Sus scrofa: one gene and its partner. The protein of the gene in region 2 binds, or shares a complex with, the protein of the main gene of each other region. Links are inferred from orthologs where the notes say so. Each region holds a gene or a part of one and is shown on either strand. Other genes may lie near its edges.

Region 1 (4,296 bases), on a different chromosome or scaffold from region 2:
AAATAAAAGTTACTATTTTAACCATTTTTAAGTGTACAGTTTAGTACTGTTATCTAAATTCACACTGTTACCAGTTTAAACCTTTTAAATATTGTAATAGATTAATCTATTATTAAAAATATAGTCCTGGAGAAACATATCTTCCTAATTTTACTCATGGTTAGCTACAGAACAAATTTTTTTTTTTTAATTTCAAGAGTAGAGATTCAGATAAGCCATTCTGACTTTACAGTTTCATAAATATAAGTAAACAGGAGCCAGACTGAAGGGACTTGCACCTTAGAAATCTGGGACAACTTGAGCATCAAAATATTTAAAGAGCAGTCATGGATTATAACCTACTGAATGAAGTGAGCAAAAAAAAAGTACATAAATAAGCAAGAAGGAAATGTTCTTCCTTATAAATAACAGAAAGCTCATTAATGTAAAAGGAATGATGGAATTAGAAAAATCACTGTTTTACATCACAGTAATCATTTCCCAGGCAAGAATCATCAACAGATAAGACTACTGGGTGAAAGTCTGGTGAGAAAGAGAAGAGTTACGTAGTCTCAATGTACCTCCCCGCAAATTAGTTAAAAATTACAAAGGGAGGAGCAGAAATATGATAGTGGAGAAACCTGGCAAACAACACTTTGGCCAAGTAATTAATGTCACCAATAATGGGATAAACCACATTACCAGCCTCCTTTCACATGCACTGAGAACCTAATACCACTTCTGTGATACTCCTGCCAAAAATACAGAACCTGAAACTAATCAGAGGAAACACCAGACAAACCTAATTCAGGAAACAGTCAACAAAAGAGAAGGCATGTACCCTTCAAAAATGTCAATACCATTAAAGCCAAAGAAAGGCGAGAAGCTTTGCTAACAAAAACTTAAGAGAGGTGAGAACTAAATGCAAAGCATGATCCTGAAGTATCCTAGCGCAGAATAAGAAATATTGCTACAAATGACTAAGAAGACAATTGGCAATACTTGAATAATGTCTGTAGATTCAATAATATTCCATCATTGGTAAATATGCTGATTTTGCCAATTATACCGTGTTTATGAAAGGTGAACCTATTTGTTCATAGAAAACACACTGAACTATTTAGGAGTACAGGGCATGTCTGAAACATACTTTCAAATGGTTCAAAAAAACAATAATATGTGTATATGGAGAGAGCAAGCAAATTTGCCAAACTGTTTAACAGCTGGTGAAACTCAGCAAAGGGTTTTGAGAATTCTTTGTACTATTCTTGCAACTTTTCCGTAAGAATAAAACTGCAAAATTTTTAAAGTTAAAAATGTACATAAATTTATGCATCCCTTTTAGAAGTATTCTCATCATTTTCCTATACCCTTGAAATTCAAATCTCTCAAATGGTCTTAATGACTTTAGAGAAGCTACTCAGGACGTCAAATTCTGAAAATAAGTCAAGGTCAAAGTCTTTGGCAAATCACAGTAAAGATTTGGAAATACTGTCTATACATACTGCAAACTGTGTTTATAATTATAATTTAAGCTAGTCGTTCTATTTTGTTGTTCTTGGCTCTACAAAGTAACTTGATTCTAAATTCCTCCTCCATAACCATTTCACTTATGCCAGACTTCTAACCTGTCCACAAAACTACCTTTCAATTCTGTATAGATAAGAGTCTGGCTCTGAAACATGGAACTTTCCCAAATCCATGACTTTAATTTGTTTATGTCTGGATCCTCTGAGGAAAATTTCTGGGAGAAAGACTGATTGCTGACCTGAAGGATATGGGTTGGAACTGGAGGGGGTGAGGTAGAGCTTCAGACCTCTAGAAAGATTGCCAACTACGTCACTGAGAGAAAACTGCAGCAGTGGATAAGAAACTGAATGCACCAGAAGAACGGTAGAAAAAGTACAAAACGTCAGGAAAGTTTAGTAATCTTGTTTGTCACTTAACCAAATTGCAAATTAGAAAAGCTACAGTATCTACAATATAAATTGTTACTTAACTTGTAATTGGTCAACTCCAAATACTATTGTCCCACTAGCATTAGAACAAAAACATATTTTCTATCATCTTTCTCACCATAGAAAAATATGGTAAACTCACGATTTGTAATTAATGAAAGCATCAAAAACACCCCTACCAACAGTTCCCTAGCTATTTAACCAACAATCTGATCGTTTAAAAGCAGATCAGCTTGCAGTAAAAAGACACCTGCCTTTCGGAATTAGCTAAACCTTCAAACTGGATGATAGGTTACACATGCAATCACTTAAATTCAGCCCTGCCTCATTAGCCAGAGAGTAGAGCAAGTTTCCATAACCGCACCACCCCTCTTGATAGTGAGTGGATGCGAGCAGACACACTACGACCAAGGAAAATGTTTAATTCTTCCAGAAGTGTCAGGTTTCGAGATAAATTCAGGTTTTCAACTTTTTCCAAGACAGCATCCCAGCGGCGACATTTTCCTCCCGTGCGTAAAGATTCCCGGGGGCGCAGCTGCTCGCTCCCCGCCTGAGGTGGAGAACCTGGCAGCCTCGCAGTACAAGGAAGAAAACTGAAGGATGCGAAAAGGGCTTAGAAAAAAAGGCGGGGAGGGAGAAGGGCAGCAGGAGGGCAGCTTCAGTACTCTGACCTCTGACCTCGACCCCGAGCTGGCGTCGCGGAAAGAGGAACGGCCAAACCCCAAGAACTTTGAGCCTGAGTCCCAGGCCAGACTGGGCCTGCCGGATGTGAGGGCCGATGACCTTCACACAGACCTGCCCGGGGACAGCAGATTGAGGCTGGACAGACACGGGGCTCGGCCCTCCCCGCCTGGACTCACCGCCCGCCGGAGATGCACCGGAGCCACTGCTCGGAACATGGTCACTGCACCAGGCCGCTTCGCAGTACCCTCAGCCCCACAGTAGCCTGCAGCTGACCCAACCACACCGCCTCCGCGAGTCACCGAAACGCTCGCGAGACGCGGGAACGAGAGCGGACTCCCCCTCAAGGAGAGAGAGCTCGCGGTTCCTGCCTGCCTATTGGGCGGTCGGGCAGCCAATGGGGACGGCGGAAAGTTAGGGGCTGGCCTTGGGACTGGGGGCAAAACTGACGCTGTGCGCTAGGCTGCTGTGGCTGAAGCCGGACTCTACAAAGGCAGGGTTAAAGCCGGAGAGCTGCGGGTGAAGGAAGTCCAGGCTGTCTGCCGGCCCCAGTGTGCAGCGCGCACAGGCTAAACTTTCCCACTGAGCTGATAACGTCACTGTGCTGGGTTCTCAACCTCTGGATGAAGGCCACTCCTCTCACTCCAATTATTCTTCTGCCCTTTCATTTAATCACAAATATAAGTACTAACATCTGTAATATGCTAAACACATTTTCCAGGTTAGGGGAATATAATAATAGGATGCATAAAATGTTGATCTCACCAGACAATGGCAGAAACATACAAGTAAACATAGCATTGCTATTAGGAAAAGAGATTCTCCGAATCGGTGGTATTTAAGCTGGGTTCTGAAAGATGGACCCTCCTGAGCACAAACAGGGAAGGAACACGATGGGAAAGACCAAGGAGAAAGCGCAGGATTCTGTGTGCTGCCTGTTGACGGAGGCAGAGCAGCTGGAGATGGGCTGAAACAGCTGATTGGAAAGGTCTTGAATGGAGGTGTAACATGAGGCCCCACCAGAGCCCTCCTTCTCTCCCCATCTTACCTATCCCTGGGCAGCCCCACCCGCACCCTGGCTTCAAAGCCCTAGACTACCAAATCTCTCCTGACCTTTGGATCCTATCCACCTGCCTGCTGGGCATCTCCTCAGATGTTCCTCTACACCACAGACCCATACACCCACAACTGACTGGGCATTCTCTTCTGGATTTCATTCCCCCTCTAGCATTCTCTTTCTCAGGGAATGCTTTCCACCTCCACCCAGCTGCTCAAGCCAGAAATCTGGGAATCATATTTGACCTGTTTCTTCCTTTATTCCCTATCCTATGAGTTATTAAATTTTAGCAATTCCATTCCCCAAACAATTCCGCAATCCATCCAAGGCTATCTCCTACCCTGCTCTGTGTTGGGATTGTTGCGGTTGCCTCCTTACTGCTCTCCCAGCTTCCAGTCTTCACCCTTCAATCCATCTTGCACTGCAACCAAAGGGCTCTTTCAAAAGGGTAAACGGGTAATGAATACACTTCGATGGCTCCCCATTGCTCTCAGGATAAAATGAAAGTGCCCCCCCCCAGGCGGGACACATATGGAGGTTCCCGGGCAAGGGGTCGAATTGGAACTGTAGCCACCCAGCCTATGCCAGAGCCATAGCAAGGCTTGATCTGAGCCATGTCTG
Region 2 (4,336 bases):
CTCACGGACACTACGTTGGGTTTTCAACCTGCTGAGCCACGAAGGGAACACCCTCATCCTCATTTTAAAGGTGGAGCAGGAATTTGCTGGTGGCTCCATGGGTTAAGGATCTAGCATTGTCACTGCTGTGGCTCTGGAACAACAACAAAAAAAGATGGAGCAACTGAGGCAGAAAGAGGCCAAGCAGGTGACCAGGGAAGGCCTCCCGGAGAAGGTGACCTTTGAGCAAAGTCTAGAAGGAGTGGGGAACACAAAGACAGGTCAGACAAACACACACACACACACACACACACACACACACACACCCCACCGGAAAGGAGGTGCCAGTTTAGGGGCACAGGGTGACATCTGGGCAAACAGGGGATCTCACTCCAGTATGGGAAGGGCTGAGGGACAAGACTGGGGGTTGCAGGAGCGCTCAAGGCCACATCCAGGTAGCCTCAGGGGATGGGGTGGGGGCCTTCCTGGAGGTGGCAATGCCACTGAATCACTAACCTTTGCTGCATTGCTTGGGGTCAAGGTTAGGCAGGCCACGAGAGGGCTAAGAAGCAGAGCTGGGAGGGTGGATCTGGAAGGGCATTCAGGCAGAAGGCACAGCGGGAGCAAAGGAAATGCCAAGAAGCAGCCTGGGCAGTCAGGAAAACATGAGCAGGCGGGAGCTGTGGAGGCACAAAGGGTGAGGAAGGCCAGGAGGCCAGGGCTGGACCCCGAAGGGTCTGGAGCACCAGGCTGAGGGGCTGGGACCCTGTCCTGGGGCTGCTGGGGGAGCGGTGGGAAGATGAGCCACAGCAGGGGTGGGGGTAGGGAGTCAGCCCTGATGATGAGCTACTGGTGGTGCGGGGGTGGGGTGGGGGGGAGGCCCCTCCAAGGCTGGGAGGGGATGGACTGGAGAGGAGAGACTGGGGACCTGGGGAGGAGAGGGTTCAGGTGGGACATGAACTGCTGGAGGAGGGGGAGCAGGACAGGGATGGAGAGGGCTGGAGGGATGGGCTGAGAAACCACAGGCTGTGGGGAGGGGAGGGGAGGAGGGGAGGGGCAGAGGGCTGGGATGGTGTCCAGGGTCTGGCCCGGTAATTAGGTAGTTGGCCGTGTCTGAATCGCTTATTTGTTCAGAAAGGGACCTCAAGGGACACATCCAGGAAGACAGGATGCGATGGAGGGAGCCCTGGGGTGTTGTGGGAGGGGCAGGCAGCTGAGGACATTGCGGGGGAGGGATGATGAAAGGAGCTCAAATAAGGACGGGTTCACCCATGGGCCAGGTCCTGTGCTGGGCGAAGCTCCAACCCAGAGCTCAGTCAAATGGGAGCCTGTCTGGGGTGGGGGCGGGAACGGACAGGTTTGACCCCAGACATCTCAGGTCAGGGACCAGGGCTAGGGGAGAGAGAGGCTTTGGGAGCCCAAAGGAACAGTGAGAAGGGGGCGGGAACCTGGAGGATCAGGCTTGTCCCCAAAAAGGCTGAAGGCAACCCCCCTGCCACTTGCTGCCAGGGCTGTCATTAGGCCGAGGGGCTGTTGAGTGAGGATGGGAGAAACAGAGAGGGGAGCCGGATTTGCCTGCACTTTTCAAACATGACTGCGGCTGCCTAGCTGATGATGTCGCAAGCAATGGAACCTGCAGTGTCCTCACCTGCCTGATGAGATTAATGATCAGTATTAACAGGACCGAATAGGGAAGCTTCTGTTGTGGCACGGTAGAAACAAATCCGACTAGCCTTCATGAGACGGCGGGTTCAATCCCTGGCCTTGCTCAGTGGGTTAAGGATCCTGTGTTGCTGTGACTATGGTGTAGGCTGGCAGCTGCAGCTGCGATTCCACCCCTGGGAACTTCCACAGGCTGGGGGTGCGGCCCTAAAAAGCAAAAGAAATAAAAAGGACTGACTAGGTTCATCTCTATCAAGGACTCAGAAGGATGCTGCCTAATGCATTAGTAAAAACTATACAGCCAATGCTGGGGACACAGCCGTGGGGTCCCAGTCTGATGCAGGGGGTGGGGAGGGTACAGACGTGGATGGACAGTCCCTACCTTCAGGCTGATTTAGGCCAAGTATGGAGACAGCGTCTCTCTGGGGGACAAGCCAGGCCCTCGGAGACCTTGCCAAGGTTACAACCCTGGCCCCTGCCTCTCTCAAGGAGGATGGGAGCTATTCCAACAGCTTGTCAGGGTGGCTTTTCATCTCTCGAAAGCACACTCCTCCCTTCCTAGCTAGAGCCTCCTCAGTCACCCTGGGGCTGTGACAGTTTCTGGGTTCCCACAGCGCCCCCGTTGGACCTCCATTAAAGCACACTGTGTGCGGTAGTCACGTGAGTGTGCAGTGCAGCCTAGTGGGTGAAAGCCTGGCTTGAGTGCAAAGCACTCGTTGGGATGCGGAGTCGGAGGGACCTGGATAGGAAATCCCGGCTCTGCCCCCTCCCAGCTGAGTGACCTCTCTGTGCCTCAGTTTCTCCGTGTGTTACAGACTCCTCCAGCAGCTGAGAAATAGAGAAGGTAAGTCGCCCTGCAGACAATTCTCAAGAGGGTGAGTCCAGAACTGGGGAACGAGGTCCTGACCCCAGAGGGGCTAGTTTTGAATGAAGAGGGCTCGGGCGTCAGAACCTCTCAGTTCTTGATCTTTGCCCTCAGGTGTGACTTTGACTTTTGCGGTCAGAGCGGCAGAGATAAGAGGTACCAGAAGAACCTCAAACAGTGTGCGCTCGTGACCCCGGAAGCACACGGCCGCGGGGTTCAGGGGGGGGGGGGCCCGGTCACCTTCACGGCGAAGTCGATGACTCTCTTGACAGCTACAAGCGCGCGCAGCTCCGCCATCTTCCTGCAGCGGCGACCAGCCGGGTCAGTCTTCGCTCTCGGCTTCACAGTCCGGACGCCCCGCCCCCCTGTCCTTCTCTGCGCCTGCGCCCCGCGCCGCCAGCCAGTCAACCGCTACGGTGCTCGCCTCCCCGTCCGACAGAGGACCAATCGGAAGGCCAGAGGGGAGGGAGGTGGGGCAAGCAGATGCGGACCAATAGAGAGCGGATCTTGGGGAGGGAGGCGGAACCCGGTGGGAAAGGCGAACATCCTTGCGGAGGGAGCGTGGCCGAGAACTAGGGAAAAGGTCGTGCAGCGGAGGGACACATTCCCGGAGAGTTCTCCACTTTTCCCAGTGCCCTCAGATCTTCCCCCTTCCCTAGTTCTCACCTCTTACTCGCCTGAGTCGCAGTGCCCGTGTCCCCACACCTCTGACTCCTCTGCGTCCCCCCGTTCCTTCCATGCCCGTGTTCCTCATCCCATGATTGTGTTTCTAGTTCCCCATATCCGATCTCCCCGTCCTTGTCTCCACTTTTCCTCCATGTCTGGGTCCCTACATCTTCTCTATGCGCCCACGTCCCCTCCTGACTCCATTATCCCTGTGTCCCCGTTCCCCTCCAAATACACCTCCCTTGACCTGTCCAGGTCCGAGTCTCCACTATGCCCGTGACCCCATGTCTACATGTTCCCTGTAGATTCAAGCCCTTACGTTTTCCCTGAGCCTCCAGGTACCCCCGCGTCCCCGTCCTCGCGTCCCCCAGAAAGGCACGTGAAACCGCGGCGGTGGAAGCCCTTCCTTTATTCTGTCCCAGGCAGCTGCGGTCACAAGCACACGGGGAATCCACTGATGGCATCTGTGCTCTGCAGGATCATGTCCGCCAGCAGAAAGCAGAAGCCTAACGGGAGGGGAACGGGAACGGAGGGAGGGTGGAGGAAAGGTGGGTTCTGGGGCGAATGGCCAGGAGGGCCCCGGGGACTGGGGTTTGGGGCTCTAGGGGCATTTCTGCCAGGTCCGCGGGAAAGCCGAGAGTGGAGTGTACTGGGGAGTCTCTGTGGTGTCTTGAGGAGGCTGGGGGGGGGGTCTCTGCAGGGAGGGGAGCGGCCCTCGGGGCAGTCTCCTCCACCCTCCTCCACTGTCCAGGTTACCCGCGAGAATAGAGAAGGGTAAAGCCAGCCACCCCGAAAAATAGGACCAGGAGAAGAAGACGTCGTCTTTCCATGCATTTTTCGCCGTGTAACCTGTCAAGGCGATCAGCAGCAAGAGGCCTGGGCCCCGCCCACCAACCGGATGAGTTTGGCCAGGGGGCTGCACCCCGACCCAGCCTGGCCACGCCCATGGCCTCAGGCCACGCCCTTCTGGGCCTCCTGCTGTTCCCCGTCTCCCAGGTCCCCGCCCCTGACCCCGCCCCTCTAGCGCCTCCTGCGTGGAGCTTTGTCCCCCCGGGACCCGCCACCTCCTCTCGTTCTCCAGCTCATTCCCTCCCGCCCCTTTCCTCGTCCTTCTAGTCGCGACCCCTGGGCTCCTGCCTCCTCCAACCCCCAGGCCCACCCTAT

The links.
Region 1: the proteins of ETFB (region 2) and ETFA are in contact, whole or in part, in a crystal structure (PDB 2A1U), measured with the Homo sapiens proteins. The link is inferred for Sus scrofa from reciprocal best matches to the Homo sapiens genes ETFB and ETFA. Residues at the interface, in NP_001976.1 of Homo sapiens: Ile14, Tyr16, Val18, Ile20, Val22, Val29, Thr31, Phe41, Leu102, Arg106, Lys124, Gln125, Ile127, Asp128, Asp129, Asp130, Cys131, Asn132, Gln133, Gln136, Met137, Ala139, Gly140, Phe141, Asp143, Trp144, Pro145, Gln146, Thr148, Phe149; in NP_000117.1 of Homo sapiens: Glu27, Leu88, Pro89, Glu90, Ser113, Ala114, Phe115, Lys117, Asn118, Pro121, Arg122, Ala124, Ala125, Lys126, Glu128, Val129, Ala130, Pro131, Ile132, Ser133, Arg146, Thr147, Ile148, Tyr149, Ala150, Gly151, Asn152, Ala153, Leu154, Cys155.

What each region holds. Positions count from the first base shown.
Region 1 is NC_010449.5:56,537,317-56,541,612, forward strand, and holds the start of ETFA (electron transfer flavoprotein subunit alpha, mitochondrial), read right to left. Parts: upstream 2,960-4,296; 5' UTR 2,837-2,959; coding exon 2,798-2,836; intron 1-2,797. UniProt on the Homo sapiens protein: Heterodimeric electron transfer flavoprotein that accepts electrons from several mitochondrial dehydrogenases, including acyl-CoA dehydrogenases, glutaryl-CoA and sarcosine dehydrogenase.
Region 2 is NC_010448.4:58,500,408-58,504,743, reverse strand, and holds the start of ETFB (electron transfer flavoprotein subunit beta), read right to left. Parts: upstream 2,804-4,336; coding exon 2,747-2,803; intron 1,849-2,746; exon of another isoform or gene 1,628-1,848; intron 1-1,627. Other genes in the region: CLDND2 (claudin domain-containing protein 2), read right to left, coding at 3,605-3,678, 3,929-4,048. UniProt on the Homo sapiens protein: Heterodimeric electron transfer flavoprotein that accepts electrons from several mitochondrial dehydrogenases, including acyl-CoA dehydrogenases, glutaryl-CoA and sarcosine dehydrogenase.